4 linked regions of the Saccharomyces cerevisiae S288C genome follow. The gene in region 1 interacts genetically with each later gene. Each region holds a gene or a part of one and is shown in the gene's direction. Other genes may lie near its edges.

Region 1 (6,702 bases):
TTTTCGGAGTGGTACAGAAGGACCCCCTCATATCATTGAATAAAAACAATTCAAAATCCATTCCATAGCGATGCGGCTTCCTGAAGCCCCGTACTTGTTCGCCATTTGGACCGATAAATCTGTTTTCATGATAAAGAGTCCATGGATCTGCCTTGTAGAAACTGGCATGAATGAACATGATATCCAAATCAGAACCGTCATCATTAACCATCAAAGTTTTCAAGAAACCATTGTCCAAAGTATAATCTGGATCCAGTTTGGAAAATTCCTCAATGTTGGCTTTAACTTTCTGCTGCGCCTTTTGGTATTGCTTGTAATCTTGTTCAAAATCATGCTGGAGCAAGGCGAGACCCTTGTAATCATCTTTTTGATAGAAGAAACCATCAAATTCAAAGTTAGTCCTCACTTGATAGTATGGCATATTCAAGGCATGGGCAGCAGCGACGAAAGTGTCTTTGTCACCTTCACCGGCAGTGCCTTGAGAAATCATCTTATAATACCAGGTAGGCCCATAAACATTATAGTATAGCGCCAGTAATAGAGTGTTGAAATGGCGAATCTTATCAATCACCATCTGGCCTGATTCAGAGCTCAAGTCTGGCATCGTGCCGTCCAGATCATGTAAGGGAACATGTTTCAGGAAATGCTCCTGTCTCTCCTTTGGAGTGTAATCGTTTGAGTTACTAACAAATGGATCATAACGTGACACGGGGGAAATATCGTCACTAACAAAACGGACTCTTTTGCCGATGTTAATGCTAGATCCTATAATGTTGTAAAAGGCGGGAGGGGTGACACGTCTCCAAAAATCGGGCCACAATATCAGGCCAGTATCGTTGAAGGATGTAGTGTTAAAAGCAAGGTCAAGGTTTTTCACCGCATAGTTATCTGCGTCCAAGAAGATAATACGCTTGAAACTGGAAATTATCAACCCAAAGACTTTCAACTGGAAGTGCGTGAGTTTTAAATCGCTTAATGGCTTTGAAGGAACGATATCTGAGAAATAAATGCACTTACCATTGAATTTCGGCAACCAGTTCTTACAAAAATCATCCTCGCCTTCGTCCTGAGGCGGAATGATGACTTCAATAGGCAATGTAGTACCCGTGTCCCTCAACTTTTTGATCATCGTATACGCGAGCACAGAATACTTTCCACCTCCAATGGTGACAATGCCCTCAGAACCTGAGAAAAGTGCCTCTCTTTGTGGGATGGAAAAATTCAGTTTCCCTGATAAGGTGTCTGTAAACTTACTGTGCACTTCTCGTAGGCTTTCTTGTACTGTTTTATTCAAATTATAGCATTTACTCAAGCTCTCGTAACTTAAGTCACTATCGTGTCCAGAGTCGTGTGCAGCAACGTTATTTGCAAAGCTACACCCTTCCGCCCCATGCAACTTACTCAAGTCCGGAGACGAATCTGCCGGCTTGTTTTCCACGATGGCTTGTACCAGTGTTGTGTAAAAATTGTTTTTAAGGTTCGACCTTGTTAGAACCGGCAATCTAAGCTTTTTACCGTATAACCAACTAGAAGACACATCATTATGCACAGAACAAAAAAATAAAATTAGCACTACTGCGCTCACGATGACCTGCAGGATTTTTCTCTTCTTTAACCTAATCAGCATTGTAACCTGAACTATTAGTATATCCTCTTGTTGTGCTAGGAACCAGTCGTAAAATAAAAATTTCCAATAACCGTGAAAATGCTTTTTTCATATCTGCGTATATATAAAACACTTTAAAGCCGTGTTGATCCTTTAGTTGTTACACTTTTTTTTCCCCGCCGATGAGAAAGTGAAAAAAAAAATCCGCAAGAACGGGGAAAAAGATAAAAGAAGGCACTTATCTCTCTGAACTCTGCACCGAAACATGCATCTGTCGTCTATTCCGACTTGGCAACCAAAAGAAGCCCAAGAGCTAGTTGCACTTAAATCAGTAGAATCGTGAGATTGTTTATTATCTTACTTCTGTTAGAGTGCTTCGCTTTCCATGCATCAAACTATGGATTTGTGCTGATCTTGCAACCATCGTCCTCTAAGGAAAGAAATGTGGCACCTTTAAATAGGTTCCACCTCACAGATGCCAACATGTGGGAGATAGGGGGCTATTCGCAATTTATTAACGTCTCTAGTACTGGTAAGCCTTTCTAACATTCTTGTGGTCACGTGATGTGTATGTTTCTTTTTTTTATTCCTCCGGGTGATAACGACGCGAAAAATATTTTTTCATTTTTCTTTTAACCATCACAATTTGCGACGCGACGCGAAAAAAATGCAGAGAAGTAAAAGAATGCTGGATAAGAAATCAACAACACAGTTGAACATTGGCGTGCCCCTGTGTATTAAGTAAAGGTTGTCCAAGAGGCTCTTTTTTGTATGTATGCGTGTGTTAACTATCCTGCACATCATCTTGCGCAGTTAGTCCAATAAAAAAAGGATTACTACTGAACAGGTCTTACTATTTTTGATTGCGTAGTGCTGGGGAAAAGTAAACACACACAGGCGCACACGAGAACAGATGAGTTCTTTGGACGAGGATGAAGAGGACTTCGAAATGCTGGACACGGAGAACCTCCAGTTTATGGGGAAGAAGATGTTTGGCAAACAGGCCGGCGAAGACGAGAGTGATGATTTTGCTATAGGGGGTAGCACCCCGACCAATAAACTGAAATTTTATCCATATTCGAACAACAAATTGACAAGAAGTACGGGGACCTTGAACCTGTCATTAAGTAATACAGCTTTGTCAGAGGCTAACTCCAAATTTCTTGGGAAAATTGAAGAAGAGGAAGAAGAGGAGGAAGAAGGCAAGGATGAGGAAAGCGTGGATTCTCGTATTAAAAGGTGGTCTCCGTTCCATGAAAATGAAAGTGTTACTACTCCTATTACAAAAAGATCTGCGGAAAAAACGAACAGTCCTATTTCTCTCAAACAATGGAACCAGCGATGGTTTCCGAAAAATGATGCTCGCACTGAAAATACATCCTCATCCTCTTCATATAGCGTCGCTAAACCTAACCAATCAGCCTTTACGTCTTCGGGCCTCGTATCTAAAATGTCTATGGACACTTCGTTATACCCTGCGAAATTGAGGATACCAGAAACACCAGTGAAAAAATCACCCTTAGTGGAGGGAAGAGACCATAAGCATGTCCACCTTTCGAGTTCGAAAAATGCATCGTCTTCTCTAAGTGTTTCCCCTTTAAATTTTGTTGAAGACAATAATTTACAAGAAGACCTTTTATTTTCAGATTCTCCGTCTTCGAAAGCTTTACCTTCCATCCATGTACCAACCATAGACTCATCCCCACTGAGCGAGGCAAAATATCATGCACATGATCGTCACAATAACCAGACAAACATCCTGTCTCCCACTAATAGCTTGGTTACCAACAGCTCTCCACAAACATTGCATTCTAACAAGTTCAAAAAAATCAAAAGAGCAAGGAATTCGGTTATTTTGAAAAATAGAGAGCTAACAAACAGTTTACAACAATTCAAAGATGATTTATACGGCACGGACGAGAATTTCCCACCTCCAATCATAATATCAAGTCATCATTCAACTAGAAAGAACCCTCAACCTTATCAATTTCGTGGACGCTATGACAATGACACTGACGAAGAGATCTCCACTCCAACAAGACGAAAATCTATTATTGGGGCAACATCTCAAACACATAGAGAAAGCAGACCATTGTCACTCTCCTCTGCCATCGTGACAAACACAACAAGTGCAGAGACGCATTCCATATCTTCCACCGATTCTTCGCCGTTAAATTCCAAAAGGCGTCTAATCTCTTCAAATAAGTTATCAGCAAATCCAGATTCCCATCTTTTCGAAAAATTTACGAATGTGCATTCCATTGGTAAAGGCCAGTTTTCCACGGTCTACCAGGTTACGTTTGCCCAAACAAACAAAAAGTATGCAATCAAAGCCATTAAACCAAACAAATATAATTCCTTGAAACGCATATTACTGGAAATTAAAATACTAAACGAGGTAACAAACCAAATTACAATGGATCAAGAAGGGAAGGAATACATCATCGATTACATCAGTTCCTGGAAGTTTCAAAATTCATACTATATTATGACAGAATTGTGCGAAAATGGTAATTTGGATGGATTTTTACAAGAGCAAGTTATCGCAAAGAAAAAAAGGTTGGAAGATTGGAGAATTTGGAAAATCATCGTGGAATTAAGCCTGGCTTTACGATTCATCCATGATTCTTGTCACATTGTGCATCTGGACTTGAAACCCGCAAACGTCATGATCACATTTGAAGGTAACCTAAAACTAGGTGACTTTGGAATGGCTACTCATTTACCGTTGGAGGATAAAAGTTTTGAAAATGAAGGTGACAGAGAATATATTGCACCAGAAATCATTTCTGATTGTACGTACGATTACAAGGCAGATATTTTTTCCCTGGGTCTGATGATTGTTGAAATTGCAGCGAACGTTGTGTTACCTGACAATGGCAACGCATGGCATAAGTTGAGATCGGGTGATTTATCGGATGCAGGAAGATTAAGTTCCACAGATATTCATTCTGAATCATTATTTTCAGACATTACGAAAGTAGATACAAATGATTTATTTGATTTTGAAAGAGACAATATCAGTGGTAATAGTAACAACGCTGGCACCTCCACTGTTCATAACAATAGTAATATCAACAACCCTAATATGAATAATGGCAACGATAATAATAATGTCAATACTGCCGCTACCAAGAATCGTCTTATTTTGCATAAAAGTTCTAAAATTCCCGCATGGGTACCGAAATTTCTTATTGATGGTGAATCACTTGAGAGAATAGTACGATGGATGATAGAGCCCAATTATGAGAGAAGGCCCACGGCAAATCAAATCTTACAAACTGAGGAATGCCTGTATGTAGAAATGACACGCAATGCAGGTGCTATTATCCAGGAAGACGACTTTGGACCTAAGCCAAAATTTTTTATATGATAAATGGAACAAAAAACCTTGTTTTATTTACATACTTTTTTCCCACACGTGCTTATGGGCCGCATTGTATAAATAATCCAATAACGAAAAAGAGTGTAATTGCAGTCCGGTAGTAATACCATGTAAAACCTTAGATGAGTTTATTTTAAGTACAGCCGCTTCAAGCATTTTTATTTTTATTTTACAGATGTAGCAGATAACAACCGTTAAATTATATTATATATATATATATATATATATCAAATACGACGTATTACATATATATTGAGAATAAGGGAAGGATGGAAGACAAATGACAAAAAGTTTGAAGCATAAATATGTTCTTCGCTTAGATGTTCATCTTGGTTCTTCTCCAGTTTCTTCTCTTAGCGTTGTAACGGATAGTGTTGTTGGTTCTCAATCTGATCCATTGTGGCAATGGTCTGTTTTGCTTCTTAGCCTTAGCCATTTTTTGCTTGATTCTGAAAGACTTTTGAGCCTAATTAAAAGGGAAACATATCGTGCACATACGAAGTGTACAATTGTAAAAAATGTTAGTAACAATGTTCAAACTCATCAATGTGATGCATTCACGGATCCAAGGCAATACCACCTGACATAAACCACGCTGGACCACCAAAAGTTCTCAGAATAAGCAGTTTATGACCATATTTTAATCTGCGTAGTGGCGACTTTAGATTTCTGTTTCGGATAAGAAAAATTTTAGTATGGTTAACACTCCTAATCCTTTCCCTATATTTTACACATTGCTTCTATTTCAAATCCAAATTGTAGGTGGTAAGGTCATTTAGATGGATGTGGTTTATAATTTGCTATTGATCAGTTCAGCATCTAACTGGGATTTATAATATCTTTCTAACATACAGCCATGTTGATCTATCTGTGTTTATTTGCTTGTCTTTTTCGAATTTTCAGTATAATATGAATGTACCAAAAATTGTAGAAAGTATATTAAGTAGAAGTTTTAAAGTATCTATCAAGGCGAAGAATAATTCTCGGTTCTCGACAGCCCAAAAGCCGAATTGCGTTAGTTAGCCCACGCGCGAGCGTAAACGCAAGGACCATTGAGCTTGGAACAGAAGGAGTCGCTTCGGCGTCCCCGCCAAGGCGTACTGTTTGCCTCGGCCTGCCGCGTGGTGGTGGTAGTTTGAGCCGGAGCCTAAAACGCCCATAAGTTTTTTGAAAATCAAGCTAAAAAATGAAAAAAAAAAAAAGTTAAATTGGTACTGTGCGCCCATACATCACATACTTAAAAGTGTGTAATTCCTCTATACATCCACACCTCACTATTTGAAAAACTCAAATATTGAGGACGCGCGATTACCAGCGGCATGTTTACTCGCTGGAAGATGTGAAATAATTCTTGAATATGGGTTTGCAGTTAGTCAATTTCAATCTAAATAATCTTAATCGACTATTCAATTCTTAAATTGTAAGGTTTTTTAATGGCCTTTCAGTTCTAGTATTTTTTATAAAACAAGACCAACATACATATCCAAGATGACCAGATCTTCCGTTTTAGCTGATGCTTTGAATGCCATTAACAACGCTGAAAAGACCGGTAAGCGTCAAGTTTTAATCAGACCATCCTCCAAGGTCATTATCAAGTTTTTGCAAGTTATGCAAAAGCACGGTTACATTGGTGAATTTGAATACATCGATGACCACAGATCTGGTAAGATTGTTGTTCAATTGAACGGTAGATTGAACAAGTGTGGTGTTA
Region 2 (6,857 bases), on another chromosome or scaffold:
CGTTCATATGAAACAACCTTATAACAAAACGAACAGAATGAGCAACATGACATATAACTTCGCCTCCCTTAGCTTAACCACCCAAACGTATAGACGCCTGAGCAATTAATTTAGATCCGAGGTTCGGCGCTTCCACCAATTAATATGATCCATATTTTATATAATATATAGGATAAGTAACATCCCATGAAAAGCTGATAATCCGTTCTGACAACTGGTTACTTCCATTGACTGTTTATATTGGGATTTTCAAGACACCCCGGTATTACTCGTACCCGTAAAACAACATACACTTCGTCATGACTGAGAAGAATATAGGAGTAAAAAGAATACCTGAACTAACAGATATAATCAGCATCATGTTTTTTAAGCGAGAATACAGAAATATTCAAATTAAGATAGGCAACAAGGATTAGTTTAAATCTGAAAATCTTTTAAGATTAGGTACCTAATTTAGCTATATTGCTTTATGATTAGTTATAACGTCATTGGAGGAACAAACTATTGGAATAAGAATCGACTATAATCTACCGGCGAGTATTCATAAGCTATTATATTGTGGTAGACGGAGTAGAAAGATAAAAAAGGATTGAAAACAGTCATCTGATTTAATGGAAGCTGAAATGCAAGATTTAATAATGTAATAGGATAATGAATGACAACATAAAAAATAGAAGAAATAATAATAGTAACATTATGTGGAAATATGGGTTTCCTTGGCAGGTTCCTATATCCTTGAGAAAGAGCTTCTAATATATTTTGTATATTTAGTATTATAACTAAGCTGTTAGAAAATAAAATACCGCTAAATCAATTGAGGCGGTATTAAATACCTGTACATTTGAATATTTGGAATGAGAAAGAAATATAGTTACATAATGTACAAAAAAGAAGCAAGAAAGGAATATATATATATATATATATATATATATATATGTATATTGTTATTTAGAATATCTCTCTCTCTTCGAGAATCTCTATATCCTCGAAAAGAACTTTTAGCATATTCACGATAGGTCGTATTATCAATTAAATCAATTACGAAGTTCGGAAGTTATTGCCTACATAATATGATGTCCTGTTCATAAAAATAGAGCCCTAAGAAGTGTTATTAAATTTAACCAGCCTACAAATTAAATATAAAATGAGTGTTATTGTTCCACCGACTTGAATAATTGTACAACTTTAGCTAACATTTTAACTAATATTTTAACGCATCTTATTATCAAGTATTGTAACAATACGTATCATCTTACTATCTCAATGGAAGCATTCTCTTATACATACTGAGTCAAATATCTTGAAGACTCATTATAATGTGTAATAAAAGGACAAAGCAGCGTAGAAGCCTTAAATAACTATGCACTTGGACACATGTCTTCTCACGACGTGTTCAAATATAATGATTTTTCAATCAGCTTTGAAGTTCAATACAAACTTCTTCACTAAAGGATAATAAGCAATCATTATTAATGGCAAAATCGGTTTTCAATTTCTTTCATTTTGAAATATTGGAGTATTTAAACCGTTTTGTGTATCATTCACAATACTTTCTTCCATACTACTGCTCTCTTGAAGTTCTTGGGAAGAGCCGAAAAAATTGGACATTTCAATATTGGTGCTTATACATTACTACTGACAAGAAGATAATAAAAAAGAAAGATTTCTATCACCGATAGTGAGCTCTTTAGAAAACTGAACGCAATAAATTTTATGCCTCATAACGTCTTGGGGCGCGAGAATTTACTGACGTAAACAGATCCGGCTCAAAAAGTCGTCTTTACCTTTCTATCATCTCGTCGCATAATTATTAAATTAACTCACAATTTCTCACAATTTATATCATGCCTTTTTTGTCAGTTCGTGGCCTTGCCAGTGGAGATATAACAACTACTTCGTAAAGGGTCCCGAAAGAAATGAAAGAATTACTCATTTGATATAAAAATTTGCATGGTATAACAGAAGTGAAACGCGGGGACAACCATGATCTTTTTTGAGTAGGATAATTTTTTATGTCGGTTTGATATATTATAAAGCAAGTCATATATAATATCATACTGATTTTAACCAAACGATAATCAATCAGAAAAAGAAAATAAATAAAAAATCTAGCACATAGTATTTCAGTACCCTTATGGTTCTGACCTCAGAAATTATTCAGCCGCTTGTTATCTTATAGTACGTTTTATATCGTAATTTTCCTGACATTTTGGGCAGAAATCCTTTACTCCTGATATAATAAACGACGTTTTTTTTCCTGTGTTTTTTATGTTACTATAAGAAATGCAAAAAAAGAAACAATAGAAAAAGGCAGTGACAAAAATACTAATCAGAACGTTGAAAACAAATCAATAGTTTTGATAATGGTAGCATCATCGATCAATGAAGAATCCTCTTTGGCGGTAAACTTGACAAGCGATGTAGAGAAGGCTTCGAAAACTTTGTTTAAGGCATTCGAAAAGTCATACGCAAATGACTACTTGATGAAAAAGTTCTTCCATATCCCAATCACTGAAAAAGTTTCAAGGGCAAGAATAAATGCAATGATACATTACTACACGACGTGCTACCATGACTTGGATGGTGAAATTGCTGAGGCAAATGATTTCGATGCAGTCGCAATATGGAGCCGCCCTGGGTGCCACTTGCCTGCTACACTATCTGACGACGAGTCTTTCAATAAGATTTTTTTTTCACGACTTGACTGTGAGGAAGCACGAAGTCATGCCTCTGGGAATGGACTATTACTACCTTTATGCCATCGGAAAAGATCCTAGCCATCCCGAAATTAGAGGTTCAGTCAGAAAAATACTCGAAAAATATAAAACCAAAGCAGACAAGGCCAATTGCGCCCTTGCTCTCGAGGCTATTTCGGAGCACGCAAGATCTGTGTACGAATATTTCGGTTTCAAAACCTATTTGGTGTTTCAGTTCGGGGTTGGAGAAGTGAACTCCAAAGGAGAACCCGATCCGCAGGGGAAGGGATTCACGGCCTACTTGATGCTCTACCACAAAGATGCAGACACCATCTTTCACGCCTGATTTTCTTCTAAAAATTTTATAGACATTTATTGTATGTATGGAGCATATAGCAACAATAAAACTTAGACCAACATTTTTTGCCGGGTCACAACCCCCTATCCCGGCTGCGAGAAAGGAAAAAAAAAAGTATCAGACAATTGATTATCAAAGAGTATGTGAAACTACGCTTTGTTTTCCACTTCAATTGGTAGGCATGTCAATACGTCTCGTTTCTTCATTGGAAAACTCTTCATTTCAAGGATAAACCATCGTCGCCGTAAGTATTTTGGGTTTCATTTCCTTCCCCCCTCGATTTTGCTTTTTTTTCCTTTTTTTGTTAGATAAAAATATAAACCCTTCTCCATATACCTGTTCACCTCAATACCGTCTTTAACTGGCTTTTTTATTTTGTATAAAAGTTCTACTTATTAAGATCAATAGGCACGTGCTATTTTCGAACATCCACTTTCAATATGATGCGTGGTTTCAAGCAAAGATTAATAAAGAAGACCACCGGGTCTTCTTCTTCTTCAAGCAGTAAAAAGAAGGACAAAGAGAAGGAAAAAGAAAAAAGTTCCACTACCTCATCCACATCAAAGAAGCCCGCTTCGGCTAGTAGCTCTTCCCACGGGACTACTCACAGTTCTGCCAGCAGTACCGGATCAAAGTCTACAACTGAGAAGGGCAAGCAATCTGGTAGTGTTCCCTCGCAAGGGAAGCATCATAGTAGCTCTACATCAAAAACAAAAACAGCGACGACCCCTTCTTCCAGCAGCAGTAGCAGTAGAAGTTCAAGTGTCAGTCGCTCCGGTTCAAGCTCCACAAAGAAAACAAGTTCAAGAAAAGGACAAGAACAGTCCAAACAATCGCAACAGCCATCACAATCTCAAAAGCAAGGATCTTCTTCATCATCTGCCGCTATAATGAACCCCACTCCAGTACTCACTGTTACTAAGGACGACAAAAGCACTTCTGGTGAAGATCATGCACATCCTACTTTGCTGGGGGCAGTATCCGCTGTTCCATCATCTCCCATTTCAAATGCTTCAGGTACAGCAGTTTCTTCTGATGTAGAAAATGGTAATAGTAATAATAACAATATGAATATTAATACTAGTAATACTCAGGATGCAAACCACGCCTCCTCACAAAGTATCGACATTCCGAGATCATCACACTCATTTGAGAGACTACCAACACCCACAAAACTTAACCCTGACACAGATTTAGAGTTAATTAAGACTCCCCAACGTCATTCTTCATCTAGATTCGAGCCATCTAGATATACGCCATTAACGAAATTGCCAAATTTTAATGAAGTTTCTCCTGAAGAAAGAATCCCTTTGTTCATTGCCAAAGTTGACCAGTGTAACACTATGTTTGACTTTAATGATCCAAGTTTTGACATTCAAGGTAAAGAGATTAAAAGAAGCACCTTAGATGAGCTAATAGAATTCCTTGTAACAAATAGGTTCACTTACACGAATGAGATGTACGCTCATGTGGTGAACATGTTCAAAATCAATCTGTTTAGACCTATTCCACCACCAGTAAATCCAGTTGGTGACATTTATGACCCAGATGAAGATGAACCTGTTAACGAACTAGCCTGGCCTCATATGCAAGCTGTTTACGAATTCTTTTTAAGGTTTGTGGAAAGTCCTGATTTCAATCATCAGATTGCTAAACAATATATTGATCAGGACTTTATTTTAAAGTTACTGGAATTATTTGATAGCGAAGATATCAGAGAAAGAGACTGTTTGAAAACGACACTGCATAGAATATATGGGAAGTTCTTATCATTAAGAAGCTTTATTCGTCGGTCGATGAATAATATTTTTTTGCAATTTATTTATGAGACTGAGAAGTTTAACGGTGTGGCAGAATTGTTAGAAATTTTGGGTTCCATAATTAATGGATTTGCACTTCCATTAAAGGAAGAGCACAAGGTTTTCTTGGTGAGGATATTGATACCATTACACAAGGTCCGTTGTTTATCATTATACCACCCTCAGTTGGCTTACTGTATCGTTCAATTTCTCGAAAAAGATCCTTTATTAACCGAAGAGGTAGTTATGGGCTTACTGCGTTATTGGCCAAAAATAAATTCCACAAAAGAGATAATGTTTCTAAATGAAATCGAGGATATTTTTGAAGTGATCGAACCGCTGGAATTTATTAAAGTAGAAGTTCCGTTATTTGTTCAATTAGCTAAGTGTATTTCTTCTCCACATTTCCAAGTGGCGGAAAAGGTTTTAAGTTATTGGAATAATGAATATTTCTTAAACTTATGTATCGAAAATGCCGAAGTCATCCTACCCATTATATTTCCTGCATTATATGAATTAACTTCTCAGTTAGAGCTAGATACAGCAAATGGCGAAGATAGCATTTCAGACCCTTACATGCTTGTTGAGCAAGCAATCAATTCTGGTTCGTGGAATAGGGCAATTCATGCTATGGCATTCAAGGCATTGAAAATTTTTCTGGAAACAAACCCAGTATTGTACGAAAACTGTAATGCATTGTACTTATCAAGTGTAAAAGAAACTCAACAGCGTAAGGTGCAACGTGAAGAAAATTGGAGCAAACTTGAAGAATATGTAAAAAATCTAAGGATTAACAATGATAAGGACCAATACACAATCAAAAACCCAGAATTAAGAAACAGTTTCAACACAGCAAGTGAGAATAACACATTAAATGAAGAGAACGAAAATGATTGTGACAGCGAGATACAGTGAAACAGCAATTCATTACAAGCTCGAAGAAGTGAGGAAGTTTAGGGCATGCCACATTTCAAAAGAGCAGCAGTATATGAAGAGCAAAAAAGAACTGGTAAATGGGGTCAACTTGTTGAAGAAACCAAAGATAGAATCCCCGAATATTCGAACAAAACTATAGCAAAGATAAGCCACTTGGACAATGGTTGTTTGTGGCCTGAGATAAAGGTCTCTTTTTCTCATCATTTGAGCATACTTCAATCGATGTGTCTTCATTTTATTATTTCTATACTTTTCTCCAAATATATCTTCGTTTTTCTTTTCGCTTTCCTTCTTCCTTCTGCCTTTCCTCTATTTATTTTGCACTCCACTCTTTTCCGTAAACCTTGCCTATCTATTATTGGATTTTTGAAAACTAAAGTATAAAGGTATGTCATAAATAATTAAATAACAAAAAAAATAGGATCATGATACAAAAAAGTGCCTTCCCCTTAGCACAGCTGATCCAACAATTTTAAGAGCTTGAAAAGCAACCTATACGTAGTTTTTTTGGCGACTGGTAAAAAAGAACTGAATAATTAATGCCTGCACTATACTGATACCAACCATTACCCCCATAATTAGTAATGAGAGCCATGTTAATCTTGACTCAGTAGAACTCACAGTATACATGTTTCTCCATTCTCTAGCCCTTAAATAATCCATTGTTTTGGTGATCTTATTCAGGTTCCTATCAATTTCCTCGATGGCGTTGTTTGCGATTATGTCCTCTTTGCTTTCATGGGAAGAAACAATTTCCTTTTCCTTTTCGAGGGTGATTTCAACTTTCTTTGGGGAAGTGCCGTAGTTATTACTCAAACAGAAAGTGTACTTACCTATACCAAACGACTTCAGTAGAAAATCAGAATGCTTCTTTTGTCTTTCAGTGACGATAACAGAGCCATCAGGGGCGGTAATATCGAAGTCTATCTCGAAATTCCCACCTGTCAAAACTTGGTAACTGACCACAAGGACATCTTTATCAGAGGATAAATCATAGTAAAGACATTCTTTGGTAAAAGCAGGTAATGATATGCCTACAGGAGCATAATTAGAGGAGAATGCATGTGT
Region 3 (9,806 bases), on another chromosome or scaffold:
AAACTACTGCTTCGATGAGAGGTGAGCAGAAGCTCCCATAAAAAAAAAAACCTATCTTGCAGTATTTCTATGTTCCTTAAGAGATCAATAGAAGTAGAATATGTTTCGAAGGGGAGATAATTCAAATTTTAACGTACAAAATAGCTTCTTTCTTCCTTTGGAATACGAATATACCGTAAAAGATAATGTACCTTCAAAAAAAAAGAGTAGTATAGGTTTTTTTCCATTAGATGATTCTTTATTCACATCAAAAAACAATTCAGGGCACCATAAAAGCGAACAGCTCCATCGCGGTAATGCAGAAACTATCAGAAGCCAGTTTGGAACTGACGCAGTTCCGATAAGGATCGATGAGAAAGAAGGAAAGTGGGATAGAATTCAAGATGATAATTCTTCTAATTTAAACTACCAAATTAACAACAGTAATGACCCAGCTTCGAGTGGTAAATATACCCAGAGTATTGACTGTAACCATATAGCGGAGTCAAAATTTTCAAAAAAAAATGGAAACATTGATAGTCTTCGTTCAAACTCAGCAACTTTTATGCTAAATACTGCAGATGAAGACGTGATAGAATTTAGTTTTGACGATAATGTCCCTTATGCTGAGTTATTATCTGGTGCCACCCTTGAAAAATGTTCGTTGACTCTAAATGAAATAAACAAAAAACTATTCAATACGCTCTATGACTTTCGAGTAAGCAAAGATAATCCCGAAGAAAATTTGGTAGAACTAATACTTCCGAACTGCGTGGTGTTATTAAACTTTTTTGAAGACATTGAACTCTTGGCCGACTCTTCTGATGAGGCTTTCGAAAAATCTACTTTCATTAACACAATTGAGTTCATTGTGCACGATATTTGGGTCGAAACGTTGATAAAGAACATAAACTTATTACAAATGTTTGATGCAGATTTGAAATGCTACAATGACAAGTACATAATTTGCAAGCTAAAGGGTCAGTATCCCTCCACAAATATAGTGGACATAATGTGCCGTTTGAAGCATTTTTCCAATTCTATTTTGGAAACTTTCAAATTCGGAATCGAGCTAAAAGAACAAGATCAATGCCACAATAGAAACACTATTATCAACTACGTTCTTTTCAGTAGAGTATTTTCAACGATTGTTTTAGAGATTCAAAAATGCTTTATCTTGATCGTTAAGTTCATGTATTCTGTCAATTTTTTAGAAAAATTTTCCGATGAAGTATTTTTGTCATTTATTGAAATTCTCATAAAAATTGTCTTTGAGCACCAGATTCCGCAGTTATTTTTGGGAATTGATGAAATTATTCAACTCTGGTTAAAGAACAATGAAGGAAAACGGCAACAACTCTTGAGCGCTTGGTGCAACGGAACTGTTCAAGATATGAAGCAAAGCCAACAAAGAGAGTCCTCAAACGCAGAATCTGAATCAATCACTTCAAGTACAGAAGAGGACGAAGAAGGCCTCCAATTCAATAAATGGGATGTGATTGAACCATTTATTGATAATATCAAGGCTTTGAATCAATCAAAATCCCATATGTGACGCAGCGATAAAACCGCGGCATGCAAACATCTACACAATTAGCAAGGGCAATCCATATTTTGTCTTTTCGCGCCCTGGAAAGGCCTAAGTAATGTCGTAAACGCATTCTATCTGTACTTCAACTCTCCTCTGTGCATTGGTTTGTGCAAATCACATTTTACGATACTGCCAGATTTATGCAAAAAGAGAAAACCAAGGGACCAGAACAAAGCAAAATTACGATAAACTTCGAATTCCTTCGTGCTTGACTAAGACAAAGGGATGGACGTAGCGATTTTTAGCGGGCCAAGAACTGGTTCCGAAAAAGCACAGGTACACCGAACCCTCAGCTAAGGAGGGACAGCACCGATGCGGAAGGACAAACTTTCTTTTTGCCTATCACAGTATCTTATCGAGCTAACTATTTTCGACACACATGAAAAAGCAGAAATATTAACGAAAAAGAAAAGAAAGACCATGTCATGTACGGGCAATCAGAATCTGTAACAAGCGCCATTTTTTTTTCTGTATCGGGCCCTCCTTACTGCTCTCCTTCCGTGTAACGCGTTATGAAACTCTAATCCTACTATCGGCGACTCTCTCGAAATTTTTCTTAACGCGTCCTTGTACTGCGTCTAACGCTTTTGCCACTTGGATTTCTATTATAGGAAATAGTCTCACTTACTGGGCGACGAATTTTCGCGTTTTGATGAAGCACAGGAAGAATTTCTTTTTTTTTTGGCTTCTTCTGGTTCCGTTTTTTACGCGCACAAATCTAAAAAAAGAAATAATTATAACCTAGTCTCGAAAATTTTCATCGATCCATTCGTTCCTTTTTTTCGATTTTTTCAGATCAAAATTCTTGTTTCTTTCTTTGTCTTAGTTTATATTAAAAGATATTTTGATTTTACTCCTGAACTATTTATTCTTTCTAAGAAGGCCAGAACACTACAGCTGTTTTAACCGACTACGAAGTTCTCCATTCTCGAACACTAGCCTTCATTTACCAAACAGGAACTAGCGTATATCATTAGTCCTTATTCGAAAAGAGATTGGTAGATATTTATTGTAGTTTGTGAGAAGGAGAAAATACTGTCATTGGACTGATAGTTAGAGGACATTAACCTCTCTTACGTTCGCTCAAAAAAATTAAAATAAGCAAGTAGCTGAAATCAAGTCTTTCATACAACGGTCAGACCATGAACACTGATCAACAACCTTATCAGGGCCAAACGGACTATACCCAGGGACCAGGTAACGGGCAAAGTCAGGAACAAGACTATGACCAATATGGCCAGCCTTTGTATCCTTCACAAGCTGATGGTTACTACGATCCAAATGTCGCTGCTGGTACTGAAGCTGATATGTATGGTCAACAACCACCAAACGAGTCTTACGACCAAGACTACACAAACGGTGAATACTATGGTCAACCGCCAAATATGGCTGCTCAAGACGGTGAAAACTTCTCGGATTTTAGCAGTTACGGCCCTCCTGGAACACCTGGATATGATAGCTATGGTGGTCAGTATACCGCTTCTCAAATGAGTTATGGAGAACCAAATTCGTCGGGTACCTCGACTCCAATTTACGGTAATTATGACCCAAATGCTATCGCTATGGCTTTGCCAAATGAACCTTATCCCGCTTGGACTGCTGACTCTCAATCTCCCGTTTCGATCGAGCAAATCGAAGATATCTTTATTGATTTGACCAACAGACTCGGGTTCCAAAGAGACTCCATGAGAAATATGTTTGATCATTTTATGGTTCTCTTGGACTCTAGGTCCTCGAGAATGTCTCCTGATCAAGCTTTACTATCTTTACATGCCGACTACATTGGTGGCGATACTGCTAACTATAAAAAATGGTATTTTGCTGCTCAGTTAGATATGGATGATGAAATTGGTTTTAGAAATATGAGTCTTGGAAAACTCTCAAGGAAGGCAAGAAAAGCTAAGAAGAAAAACAAGAAAGCAATGGAAGAGGCCAATCCCGAAGACACTGAAGAAACTTTAAACAAAATTGAAGGCGACAACTCCCTAGAGGCTGCTGATTTTAGATGGAAGGCCAAGATGAACCAGTTGTCTCCCCTGGAAAGAGTTCGTCATATCGCCTTATATCTGTTATGTTGGGGTGAAGCTAATCAAGTCAGATTCACTGCTGAATGTTTATGTTTTATCTACAAGTGTGCTCTTGACTACTTGGATTCCCCTCTTTGCCAACAACGCCAAGAACCTATGCCAGAAGGTGATTTCTTGAATAGAGTCATTACGCCAATTTATCATTTCATCAGAAATCAAGTTTATGAAATTGTTGATGGTCGTTTTGTCAAGCGTGAAAGAGATCATAACAAAATTGTCGGTTATGATGATTTAAACCAATTGTTCTGGTATCCAGAAGGTATTGCAAAGATTGTTCTTGAAGATGGAACAAAATTGATAGAACTCCCATTGGAAGAACGTTATTTAAGATTAGGCGATGTCGTCTGGGATGATGTATTCTTCAAAACATATAAAGAGACCCGTACTTGGTTACATTTGGTCACCAACTTCAACCGTATTTGGGTTATGCATATCTCCATTTTTTGGATGTACTTTGCATATAATTCACCAACATTTTACACTCATAACTATCAACAATTGGTCGACAACCAACCTTTGGCTGCTTACAAGTGGGCATCTTGCGCATTAGGTGGTACTGTCGCAAGTTTGATTCAAATTGTCGCTACTTTGTGTGAATGGTCATTCGTTCCAAGAAAATGGGCTGGTGCTCAACATCTATCTCGTAGATTCTGGTTTTTATGCATCATCTTTGGTATTAATTTGGGTCCTATTATTTTTGTTTTTGCTTACGACAAAGATACAGTCTACTCCACTGCTGCACACGTTGTTGCTGCTGTTATGTTCTTTGTTGCGGTTGCTACCATCATATTCTTCTCCATTATGCCATTGGGGGGGTTGTTTACGTCATATATGAAAAAATCTACAAGGCGTTATGTTGCATCTCAAACATTCACTGCTGCATTTGCCCCTCTACATGGGTTAGATAGATGGATGTCCTATTTAGTTTGGGTTACTGTTTTTGCTGCCAAATATTCAGAATCGTACTACTTTTTAGTTTTATCTTTGAGAGATCCAATTAGAATTTTGTCCACCACTGCAATGAGGTGTACAGGTGAATACTGGTGGGGTGCGGTACTTTGTAAAGTGCAACCCAAGATTGTCTTAGGTTTGGTTATCGCTACCGACTTCATTCTTTTCTTCTTGGATACCTACTTATGGTACATTATTGTGAATACCATTTTCTCTGTTGGGAAATCTTTCTATTTAGGTATTTCTATCTTAACACCATGGAGAAATATCTTCACAAGATTGCCAAAAAGAATATACTCCAAGATTTTGGCTACTACTGATATGGAAATTAAATACAAACCAAAGGTTTTGATTTCTCAAGTATGGAATGCCATCATTATTTCAATGTACAGAGAACATCTCTTAGCCATCGACCATGTACAAAAATTACTATATCATCAAGTTCCATCTGAAATCGAAGGTAAAAGAACTTTGAGAGCTCCTACCTTCTTTGTTTCTCAAGATGACAATAATTTTGAGACTGAATTTTTCCCTAGGGATTCAGAGGCTGAGCGTCGTATTTCTTTCTTTGCTCAATCTTTGTCTACTCCAATTCCCGAACCACTTCCAGTTGATAACATGCCAACGTTCACAGTATTGACTCCTCACTACGCGGAAAGAATTCTGCTGTCATTAAGAGAAATTATTCGTGAAGATGACCAATTTTCTAGAGTTACTCTTTTAGAATATCTAAAACAATTACATCCCGTTGAATGGGAATGTTTTGTTAAGGATACTAAGATTTTGGCTGAAGAAACCGCTGCCTATGAAGGAAATGAAAATGAAGCTGAAAAGGAAGATGCTTTGAAATCTCAAATCGATGATTTGCCATTTTATTGTATTGGTTTTAAATCTGCTGCTCCAGAATATACACTTCGTACGAGAATTTGGGCTTCTTTGAGGTCGCAGACTCTATATCGTACCATTTCAGGGTTCATGAATTATTCAAGAGCTATCAAATTACTGTATCGTGTGGAAAATCCTGAAATTGTTCAAATGTTTGGTGGTAATGCTGAAGGCTTAGAAAGAGAGCTAGAAAAGATGGCAAGAAGAAAGTTTAAATTTTTGGTCTCTATGCAGAGATTGGCTAAATTCAAACCACATGAACTGGAAAATGCTGAGTTTTTGTTGAGAGCTTACCCAGACTTACAAATTGCCTACTTGGATGAAGAGCCACCTTTGACTGAAGGTGAGGAGCCAAGAATCTATTCCGCTTTGATTGATGGACATTGTGAAATTCTAGATAATGGTCGTAGACGTCCCAAGTTTAGAGTTCAATTATCTGGTAACCCAATTCTTGGTGACGGTAAATCTGATAACCAAAACCATGCTTTGATTTTTTACAGAGGTGAATACATTCAATTAATTGATGCCAACCAAGATAACTACTTGGAAGAATGTCTGAAGATTAGATCTGTATTGGCTGAATTTGAGGAATTGAACGTTGAACAAGTTAATCCATATGCTCCCGGTTTAAGGTATGAGGAGCAAACAACTAATCATCCTGTTGCTATTGTTGGTGCCAGAGAATACATTTTCTCTGAAAACTCTGGTGTGCTGGGTGATGTGGCCGCTGGTAAAGAACAAACTTTTGGTACATTATTTGCGCGTACTTTATCTCAAATTGGTGGTAAATTGCATTATGGTCATCCGGATTTCATTAATGCTACGTTTATGACCACTAGAGGTGGTGTTTCCAAAGCACAAAAGGGTTTGCATTTAAACGAAGATATTTATGCTGGTATGAATGCTATGCTTCGTGGTGGTCGTATCAAGCATTGTGAGTATTATCAATGTGGTAAAGGTAGAGATTTGGGTTTCGGTACAATTCTAAATTTCACTACTAAGATTGGTGCTGGTATGGGTGAACAAATGTTATCTCGTGAATATTATTATCTGGGTACCCAATTACCAGTGGACCGTTTCCTAACATTCTATTATGCCCATCCTGGTTTCCATTTGAACAACTTGTTCATTCAATTATCTTTGCAAATGTTTATGTTGACTTTGGTGAATTTATCTTCCTTGGCCCATGAATCTATTATGTGTATTTACGATAGGAACAAACCAAAAACAGATGTTTTGGTTCCAATTGGGTGTTACAACTTCCAACCTGCGGTTGATTGGGTGAGACGTTATACATTGTCTATTTTCATTGTTTTCTGGATTGCCTTCGTTCCTATTGTTGTTCAAGAACTAATTGAACGTGGTCTATGGAAAGCCACCCAAAGATTTTTCTGCCACCTATTATCATTATCCCCTATGTTCGAAGTGTTTGCGGGCCAAATCTACTCTTCTGCGTTATTAAGTGATTTAGCAATTGGTGGTGCTCGTTATATATCCACCGGTCGTGGTTTTGCAACTTCTCGTATACCATTTTCAATTTTGTATTCAAGATTTGCAGGATCTGCTATCTACATGGGTGCAAGATCAATGTTAATGTTGCTGTTCGGTACTGTCGCACATTGGCAAGCTCCACTACTGTGGTTTTGGGCCTCTCTATCTTCATTAATTTTTGCGCCTTTCGTTTTCAATCCACATCAGTTTGCTTGGGAAGATTTCTTTTTGGATTACAGGGATTATATCAGATGGTTATCAAGAGGTAATAATCAATATCATAGAAACTCGTGGATTGGTTACGTGAGGATGTCTAGGGCACGTATTACTGGGTTTAAACGTAAACTGGTTGGCGATGAATCTGAGAAAGCTGCTGGTGACGCAAGCAGGGCTCATAGAACCAATTTGATCATGGCTGAAATCATACCCTGTGCAATTTATGCAGCTGGTTGTTTTATTGCCTTCACGTTTATTAATGCTCAAACCGGTGTCAAGACTACTGATGATGATAGGGTGAATTCTGTTTTACGTATCATCATTTGTACCTTGGCGCCAATCGCCGTTAACCTCGGTGTTCTATTCTTCTGTATGGGTATGTCATGCTGCTCTGGTCCCTTATTTGGTATGTGTTGTAAGAAGACAGGTTCTGTAATGGCTGGAATTGCCCACGGTGTTGCTGTTATTGTCCACATTGCCTTTTTCATTGTCATGTGGGTTTTGGAGAGCTTCAACTTTGTTAGAATGTTAATCGGAGTCGTTACTTGTATCCAATGTCAAAGACTCATTTTTCATTGCATGACAGCGTTAATGTTGACTCGTGAATTTAAAAACGATCATGCCAATACAGCCTTCTGGACTGGTAAGTGGTATGGTAAAGGTATGGGTTACATGGCTTGGACCCAGCCAAGTAGAGAATTAACCGCCAAGGTAATTGAGCTTTCAGAATTTGCAGCTGATTTTGTTCTAGGTCATGTGATTTTAATCTGTCAACTGCCACTCATTATAATCCCAAAAATAGATAAATTCCACTCGATTATGCTATTCTGGCTAAAGCCCTCTCGTCAAATTCGTCCCCCAATTTACTCTCTGAAGCAAACTCGTTTGCGTAAGCGTATGGTCAAGAAGTACTGCTCTTTGTACTTTTTAGTATTGGCTATTTTTGCAGGATGCATTATTGGTCCTGCTGTAGCCTCTGCTAAGATCCACAAACACATTGGAGATTCATTGGATGGCGTTGTTCACAATCTATTCCAACCAATAAATACAACCAATAATGACACTGGTTCCCAAATGTCAACTTATCAAAGTCACTACTATACTCATACGCCATCATTAAAGACCTGGTCAACTATAAAATAATACAATCAATACTTGCTTGAACGCTTGATTTTACTGATATTCTATCCAAAAGCAAGTAGACCAGAAACTCTCAAGATGTTGCAAATACCGTTCGATGTTTTTGGTTTAGATTGTTTTAATGTTGATGCTTTTTTACTTATTTTTGGAAGCGTCTTTTTAATTTAGTTTTATATTATAGGTATATGAATGTGTTTATGCCAATAAGGGTTTTTTTGTACAGTTATGTGATTATAAACAGTCTTTTGTCTAGTTTTTTTCACCAGTATCGGCCTCTATTTATAAAAAACGGAGCAGCTTTCGGTGTCAGTAATTCTGAAAAAATTTGTGTCACTCTGATTGTAAATGAATTAATTTAGCTAGATAGTTGCGAGCCCCAACGAGAAGATTGTCAGACAAAGACAACATTCAACAACCTACATCCGTTACTATTCGTTAACTCGAGGTACTTGAAACTTTTCAGTTAAGTATGAACAAGAAACAAAATTTTTACGCAGCCATTATTGTGGCTATTTTTCTTTGTTTGCAATTGTCTCATGGCTCTTCAGGTGTCAGCTTTGAAAAAACCCCTGCTATTAAAATTGTAGGAAACAAATTCTTTGACTCTGAGAGTGGGGAACAGTTCTTCATCAAGGGCATTGCTTACCAATTGCAGAGAAGTGAAGAGGAGCTTAGCAATGCAAATGGGGCTTTTGAGACAAGTTATATTGATGCCTTAGCGGACCCAAAAATATGCTTAAGAGATATTCCATTTTTGAAAATGCTAGGAGTGAACACACTGCGTGTTTATGCAATAGATCCGACAAAATCACATGATATATGTATGGAAGCTCTATCTGCCGAAGGAATGTACGTCCTATTAGATCTTTCAGAGCCTGATATTTCAATAAATAGAGAAAATCCATCTTGGGATGTACATATTTTTGAAAGGTACAAATCTGTAATTGATGCAATGTCATCCTTTCCAAATTTGTTGGGGTATTTTGCAGGGAATGAAGTGACAAATGACCATACAAATACCTTTGCATCACCCTTCGTGAAGGCCGCAATCCGAGATGCCAAGGAGTATATTTCGCATTCTAATCATAGAAAAATCCCTGTCGGCTATTCAACTAATGACGATGCTATGACAAGAGACAATTTAGCAAGGTACTTCGTTTGCGGAGACGTTAAAGCTGATTTCTATGGGATAAATATGTACGAATGGTGTGGGTATTCCACGTATGGTACTAGTGGATATAGGGAAAGAACGAAAGAATTTGAAGGTTATCCAATTCCCGTGTTTTTTTCGGAATTCGGCTGCAATCTTGTAAGACCAAGGCCATTCACTGAAGTTAGTGCCCTTTATGGCAATAAAATGTCCTCTGTTTGGTCTGGTGGCCTTGCATACATGTATTTTGAAGAAGAAAATGAATACGGAGTTGTTAAGATAAATGATAATGATGGAGTGGATATTCTTCCTGATT
Region 4 (6,938 bases), on another chromosome or scaffold:
ATAGTGGTCATAATACCGATACTTCCAGAGCTTGGGGTCCCTTTGTTGAAAGTGAACTAAAATATAAACTGAAAAACAAATCCAATTCCTCCTCATTTCTGAACTTCTCTCATTTTTTAAACAGCAGTTCCAGCTCAATGTCCTCTTCCTCAAATGCGGGAAAGAATAATCATGATTTAACGGGAAATAAAGAAAGGACAGGGCTAATACTAGTAAAGGCGAAAATTCCAAAACAGGGCCTACCATATTGGGCTCCCTCATTATTGAGAAAGACCAATGTTTTTGAATCTAAGAGTAAACACGACCAAGAAAATTGGGTGAGATTGTCTGAGTTGATTCCGGAAGACGTAAAAAAACCATTGGAAAAACTTGATTTACAATTGACTTGCATAGAATCCGATAATAGCTTACCTCATGATCCGCCAGAAATTCAATCGATTACCACAGAACTGATATGTATAACTGCTAAATCTGATAATTCTATCCCAATAAAACTCAATTCTGAACTGTTGATGAACAAAGAGAAGCTGACAAGCATCAAAGCTTTGTACGATGATTTCCATTCAAAAATTTGTGAATATGAAACCAAGTTCAACAAGAATTTTCTTGAATTAAATGAGTTATATAATATGAATAGGGGAGACCGTAGGCCAAAGGAACTGAAATTTACAGATTTTATTACTTCACAGCTGTTTAACGATATCGAAAGCATTTGCAACTTGAAAGTTAGTGTTCACAACTTATCCAACATTTTTAAAAAACAGGTCAGTACCCTAAAACAACACTCAAAGCACGCATTATCTGAGGATTCAATATCGCACACAGGTAACGGTAGTTCATCGTCGCCCAGTTCAGCGTCATTAACGCCAGTAACTTCTTCATCCAAGAGTAGTTTATTTTTACCTAGCGGTAGCTCGTCTACTTCCCTGAAATTTACAGACCAGATTGTTCATAAATGGGTTAGGATTGCTCCTTTACAGTACAAACGAGACATTAATGTGAACTTGGAATTTAATAAGGACATTAAGGAAACTTTAATTCCAAGTTTTGAAAGCTGCCTATGTTGTAGGTTTTATTGCGTTCGAGTAATGATTAAATTTGAAAACCATCTTGGCGTAGCGAAGATTGATATCCCTATTTCTGTTAGGCAAGTGACAAAATAAAAAAACATTAGAAAAAATTCTCGTTACTTTTCTTATAGATATAGATATATGTATGGTTTGCTTATAGATGAAGGTATTTATCGCGTCCTTTGTATTCCCTATTATTAATAAAATTCTTTTAAAATGCATTTTCTGGTGCTCTTTTGTTGCTTCTGTATTTTTTTTTTTTTGGACCACTGGATGGAAAACCTTTGATGATTTTATTACCTTTATTTTAAGTTACTAAAATATCGAGATTTCAGGAACAAAACATAGAATTTTCTTTGTCAAGAAAAATAAAACGAAATAAATTGATGCTTTGACTACTGACTGTCTGTCATAGAGAGAACCAGAACAGCAATGCTACAATTCTCAACATTTCTAGTGCTCCTATACATCTCCATATCCTATGTGCTACCGCTATATGCAACTTCACAACCAGAAGGGTCTAAACGAGATAATCCTCGAACGATTAAATCTCGCATGCAAAAACTTACAATTATGCTAATTTCCAACCTTTTTTTGGTGCCTTTTTTACAATCTCAATTATCTAGTACCACTTCACATATAAGTTTCAAGGACGCATTTTTAGGCTTAGGTATTATCCCAGGTTATTACGCTGCATTGCCAAACCCTTGGCAATTCAGCCAGTTCGTGAAAGACTTAACGAAATGTGTTGCGATGTTATTGACCTTATATTGTGGACCCGTTTTAGATTTTGTATTATATCATTTATTAAATCCAAAGAGCTCTATACTTGAAGATTTTTACCATGAATTCCTGAATATTTGGAGTTTCAGGAATTTTATATTTGCACCAATAACTGAGGAAATATTTTACACGTCAATGCTTTTGACTACGTACTTAAACCTAATACCGCATTCGCAACTAAGCTATCAACAGTTATTTTGGCAACCATCGCTTTTTTTTGGACTTGCGCACGCACACCATGCTTATGAGCAATTACAGGAAGGCTCCATGACAACTGTTTCCATTCTGCTGACAACATGCTTCCAAATTTTATACACAACACTTTTTGGAGGGTTAACCAAGTTTGTATTCGTAAGAACAGGCGGGAACCTATGGTGCTGCATAATCCTGCATGCCCTTTGCAATATCATGGGGTTTCCTGGTCCTTCAAGATTGAATTTACATTTCACAGTAGTAGACAAGAAAGCTGGACGCATTTCCAAATTGGTCTCAATCTGGAATAAGTGCTACTTCGCACTGCTGGTCCTTGGATTAATATCCCTGAAGGATACCTTACAAACTCTGGTAGGAACTCCTGGTTATAGAATAACCCTTTAGCCTTTTTTACGTACTTGTATACCGTTTAAAATTTCCTATGTACTATAACCTTTTTTCACTACTATTATGGAATTCTATCGAGCGACCGGGCTTTTGTTACGGAAGAGTGAAAAAATCGAGTTTTGGTGTTTTGGTGAAAGAATTTGGAGGACTATAAAGTACCTATACTTTGTATTACGGACTCAATAACAAGTCGTTCGTGTCAGTGGTATTGAAGTTGTCAGATCTAAGAGTAGAGAGAAGGTGGCATCTAATAGGTTTCGACGTTTTTCTTTTTTTAAGGTTTTTATTTGGTCTCCTAGAATTTAAGGTCTTAGTTAGTTTTGGTTTGTTTTGTGGGTTACATATTTTCAATTCAAAGGAGAATTTAGCTGTCTTTTATAATGTCCAATAGAGATAACGAGAGCATGCTGCGTACTACATCAAGCGATAAGGCGATCGCTAGTCAAAGGGATAAACGGAAGTCTGAAGTTTTGATTGCTGCACAGTCCCTTGACAATGAAATCCGCAGCGTAAAAAACCTAAAAAGATTGTCGATTGGGTCAATGGATTTACTTATTGATCCAGAATTAGATATAAAATTCGGTGGGGAATCTAGTGGGAGACGATCATGGTCTGGCACGACATCCAGTTCTGCGTCAATGCCAAGTGACACAACCACCGTTAATAACACACGATATAGCGATCCAACTCCGCTAGAGAACTTGCATGGGAGGGGTAACTCAGGGATAGAATCCTCCAATAAGACTAAACAAGGTAACTACTTAGGTATAAAAAAAGGTGTTCACTCTCCATCCAGGAAATTAAATGCTAACGTATTAAAGAAAAACTTATTATGGGTTCCCGCCAATCAACACCCTAACGTTAAGCCTGATAATTTCCTAGAGCTTGTACAAGATACTTTACAAAATATACAACTAAGCGACAATGGTGAAGATAATGATGGGAATAGCAATGAAAATAACGATATTGAGGATAATGGGGAGGATAAAGAATCACAATCATATGAAAATAAGGAGAACAACACTATCAACTTGAACAGGGGGCTGTCAAGGCATGGAAACGCGTCACTAATACGAAGGCCTTCAACATTGCGGAGGTCATATACAGAGTTTGATGATAACGAAGATGACGATAATAAGGGAGACAGTGCCTCTGAAACAGTAAATAAAGTCGAAGAAAGAATCTCCAAAATAAAAGAGAGACCAGTGTCGTTAAGAGATATAACTGAAGAACTGACAAAGATCTCAAATAGTGCAGGACTAACCGACAATGATGCCATTACATTAGCCAGAACTCTTAGTATGGCTGGTTCATATTCAGATAAAAAAGATCAACCACAACCGGAAGGGCATTATGATGAAGGAGATATTGGTTTTTCAACTTCACAAGCGAATACTTTGGATGATGGTGAATTTGCCTCCAATATGCCCATCAATAATACCATGACATGGCCTGAACGATCGTCACTGAGAAGGAGTAGATTCAACACTTATCGAATCAGGTCACAAGAGCAAGAAAAAGAAGTAGAACAAAGTGTGGATGAAATGAAAAACGACGACGAAGAACGTCTAAAATTGACCAAGAATACAATAAAGGTCGAAATAGATCCGCACAAATCCCCTTTTAGACAGCAAGATGAGGATTCTGAGAATATGAGTTCGCCTGGGTCAATTGGTGATTTTCAAGACATTTATAATCATTACAGACAGTCTAGTGGCGAGTGGGAACAAGAAATGGGAATAGAGAAAGAAGCCGAAGAGGTACCCGTCAAGGTTCGAAATGACACAGTAGAACAAGACTTAGAGTTAAGAGAGGGAACAACAGACATGGTAAAGCCAAGCGCAACGGATGACAACAAAGAAACGAAGCGACATCGTCGAAGAAACGGATGGACATGGTTGAACAATAAAATGAGCAGAGAAGACGATAACGAAGAAAACCAAGGGGACGATGAAAATGAAGAAAACGTGGATTCACAAAGAATGGAGCTCGACAATTCCAAAAAACATTATATTTCTCTATTTAATGGCGGTGAGAAGACGGAGGTGTCAAATAAAGAAGAAATGAACAATTCAAGTACTTCCACCGCCACATCACAGACAAGACAGAAAATCGAGAAAACTTTTGCGAACCTATTCAGAAGAAAGCCACACCACAAGCATGATGCATCATCATCACCCTCGTCGTCACCATCATCGTCACCATCAATACCAAATAACGATGCCGTGCACGTTCGCGTGAGGAAAAGCAAAAAGCTTGGTAACAAAAGTGGAAGGGAGCCGGTTGAACCCATTGTGTTGCGCAATCGCCCTCGTCCTCACCGTCACCATCACAGCCGTCATGGTTCCCAAAAAATAAGCGTAAAAACCCTTAAAGATTCTCAGCCGCAGCAGCAGATACCATTACAACCACAATTGGAAGGCGCAATAGAGATAGAAAAGAAAGAGGAAAGCGATTCCGAGAGCTTGCCCCAACTACAGCCGGCCGTTAGTGTAAGTAGTACCAAAAGTAACTCTAGAGACAGAGAAGAAGAGGAGGCAAAGAAAAAGAACAAGAAGAGGAGCAATACGACAGAAATTTCCAACCAACAACACTCCAAACACGTCCAAAAGGAGAATACCGATGAGCAAAAAGCTCAACTACAAGCTCCAGCTCAAGAACAAGTCCAAACTTCAGTCCCAGTTCAAGCTTCAGCCCCAGTCCAAAATTCAGCCCCAGTCCAAACTTCAGCCCCAGTTGAAGCTTCAGCTCAAACTCAGGCTCCAGCGGCACCACCATTGAAACATACCTCCATATTGCCCCCAAGAAAGCTTACATTTGCAGACGTCAAAAAACCTGACAAACCAAACTCCCCGGTTCAATTCACAGACAGTGCCTTTGGGTTCCCACTGCCTTTGCTGACAGTGTCTACGGTTATCATGTTCGACCACCGTCTACCAATTAACGTCGAAAGGGCCATATACCGGCTGAGTCACTTGAAATTGAGCAATTCGAAGAGGGGACTGCGCGAGCAGGTATTACTAAGTAACTTCATGTATGCTTATCTGAACTTGGTTAATCACACTCTGTACATGGAGCAGGTAGCCCACGACAAAGAACAACAACAACAACAACAACAACAACCCTGAAAAGGCTTCAGCGCTGCATACATAGACATATACACATCACACGTACATACACGAAAAGATAGCTTTCATGCTCACAAAGCTACGTTCCCCACAGAATATTTCCCAGGACAACAGGGAAAGTTGGACAAACACCAAACTTCTCATAATACAATAGCCGAAAACAGTCTTGCTTTTGATAAAGAGAGCTTTCTGCGGCCGGAAGAAAATGTGCCTATTCCGCGGGGCCGTTCCGCGCAGAAACTACCGCACGACGTCGGAAATATAACGGGGTTTTGCGCGGATTTACTGACGTGTGACATCTTTTCGCAGTTAATTTTTTTTTCAATTTGGAACCGTATAAGAACAGAGGTATTAGATAGTAGAAGCTATTGTGTCTATTGTCTTTGATTAGTTTTTTTTTCTATTGTTATCGTGGCAGGCACTAAAAGCGGTGGTAAGCTAAAACTAGTACGAAGATGTCGACTAATACTTCCAAGACTTTGGAACTGTTTTCAAAAAAGACGGTACAAGAACACAATACTGCCAATGACTGCTGGGTCACTTATCAAAACAGAAAGATTTATGACGTGACCAGGTTTTTGAGCGAACACCCTGGTGGTGACGAGTCCATCTTGGACTATGCTGGTAAGGACATTACTGAGATCATGAAAGACTCAGATGTGCATGAACACAGCGACTCCGCGTATGAAATCCTTGAGGACGAATATTTGATTGGTTACTTGGCAACTGACGAAGAGGCAGCGAGATTGTTGACTAACAAGAACCATAAGGTTGAAGTGCAGTTGTCAGCTGACGGTACTGAGTTTGACTCCACTACTTTTGTAAAGGAGTTGCCCGCCGAGGAGAAACTAAGTATTGCTACGGACTACAGTAACGACTACAAAAAGCATAAATTTTTGGATCTGAACCGTCCTTTGCTGATGCAGATTCTGCGTAGTGATTTCAAGAAAGATTTTTACGTTGACCAAATCCATAGACCAAGACATTACGGTAAGGGGTCTGCCCCGCTATTTGGTAATTTCTTGGAACCATTAACTAAAACAGCTTGGTGGGTTGTTCCAGTTGCTTGGTTGCCTGTAGTTGTGTACCACATGGGTGTTGCTTTGAAGAACATGAACCAGCTATTTGCATGTTTCTTGTTCTGTGTCGGTGTCTTTGTTTGGACTTTGATTGAATACGGTCTTCACCGTTTCCTATTTCATTTCGATGATTGGTTACCTGAAAGTAACATCGCATTCGCCACACATTTTCTACTACATGGTTGCCATCATTACTTGCCCATGGACAAGTACCGTTTAGTTATGCCACCTACTCTGTTCGTCATCCTTTGTGCTCCATTTTACAAGTTGGTATTTGC

The links.
Region 2: of SWE1 (region 1) and RTS1, changing one suppresses a phenotype caused by changing the other (phenotypic suppression), as found in Saccharomyces cerevisiae (3 studies listed by BioGRID, with this or other methods).
Region 3: mutations in SWE1 (region 1) and FKS1 together harm fitness more than expected from each alone (negative genetic interaction), as found in Saccharomyces cerevisiae (4 studies listed by BioGRID, with this or other methods).
Region 4: of SWE1 (region 1) and ZDS1, changing one suppresses a phenotype caused by changing the other (phenotypic suppression), as found in Saccharomyces cerevisiae (3 studies listed by BioGRID, with this or other methods).

Annotation. Positions count from the first base shown.
Region 1 is NC_001142.9:75,080-81,781, reverse strand, and holds SWE1 (tyrosine protein kinase SWE1), read left to right. Parts: upstream 1-2,519; coding exon 2,520-4,979; downstream 4,980-6,702. Other genes in the region: alpha-1,2-mannosyltransferase MNN5, read right to left, coding at 1-1,627; 60S ribosomal protein eL39 RPL39, read right to left, coding at 5,308-5,457, 5,844-5,849; 40S ribosomal protein uS8 RPS22A, read left to right, coding at 6,480-6,702. UniProt on the Saccharomyces cerevisiae protein: Protein kinase that acts as a negative regulator of entry into mitosis (G2 to M transition) by phosphorylating and inhibiting the mitosis-promoting cyclin B-bound CDC28 at 'Tyr-19'.
Region 2 is NC_001147.6:354,180-361,036, forward strand, and holds RTS1 (protein phosphatase 2A regulatory subunit RTS1), read left to right. Parts: upstream 1-3,494; coding exon 3,495-5,768; downstream 5,769-6,857. Other genes in the region: YOR011W-A (uncharacterized protein), read left to right, coding at 1,473-1,679; YOR012W (uncharacterized protein), read left to right, coding at 2,364-2,777; YOR015W (uncharacterized protein), read left to right, coding at 5,814-6,173; ERP4 (Erp4p), read right to left, coding at 6,282-6,857. UniProt on the Saccharomyces cerevisiae protein: The B regulatory subunit might modulate substrate selectivity and catalytic activity, and might also direct the localization of the catalytic enzyme to a particular subcellular compartment. Multicopy suppressor of ROX3 and HSP60.
Region 3 is NC_001144.5:807,285-817,090, forward strand, and holds FKS1 (1,3-beta-D-glucan synthase), read left to right. Parts: upstream 1-2,712; coding exon 2,713-8,343; downstream 8,344-9,806. Other genes in the region: SPO77 (Spo77p), read left to right, coding at 101-1,534; YLR342W-A (uncharacterized protein), read left to right, coding at 8,526-8,699; GAS2 (1,3-beta-glucanosyltransferase), read left to right, coding at 8,810-9,806. UniProt on the Saccharomyces cerevisiae protein: Alternate catalytic subunit of the 1,3-beta-glucan synthase (GS) complex. Synthesizes 1,3-beta-glucan, a major structural component of the yeast cell wall. Involved in cell wall synthesis, maintenance and remodeling.
Region 4 is NC_001145.3:809,876-816,813, reverse strand, and holds ZDS1 (Zds1p), read left to right. Parts: upstream 1-2,833; coding exon 2,834-5,581; downstream 5,582-6,938. Other genes in the region: ubiquitin-ubiquitin ligase BUL1, read left to right, coding at 1-1,163; RCE1 (CAAX prenyl protease), read left to right, coding at 1,503-2,450; YMR272W-B (uncharacterized protein), read right to left, coding at 5,618-5,725; SCS7 (fatty acid alpha-hydroxylase), read left to right, coding at 6,037-6,938. UniProt on the Saccharomyces cerevisiae protein: Has a role in establishing cell polarity. Together with cAMP-dependent protein kinase regulatory subunit BCY1, provides a negative feedback control on the cell wall integrity-signaling pathway by acting as a negative regulator of MAP kinase SLT2/MPK1.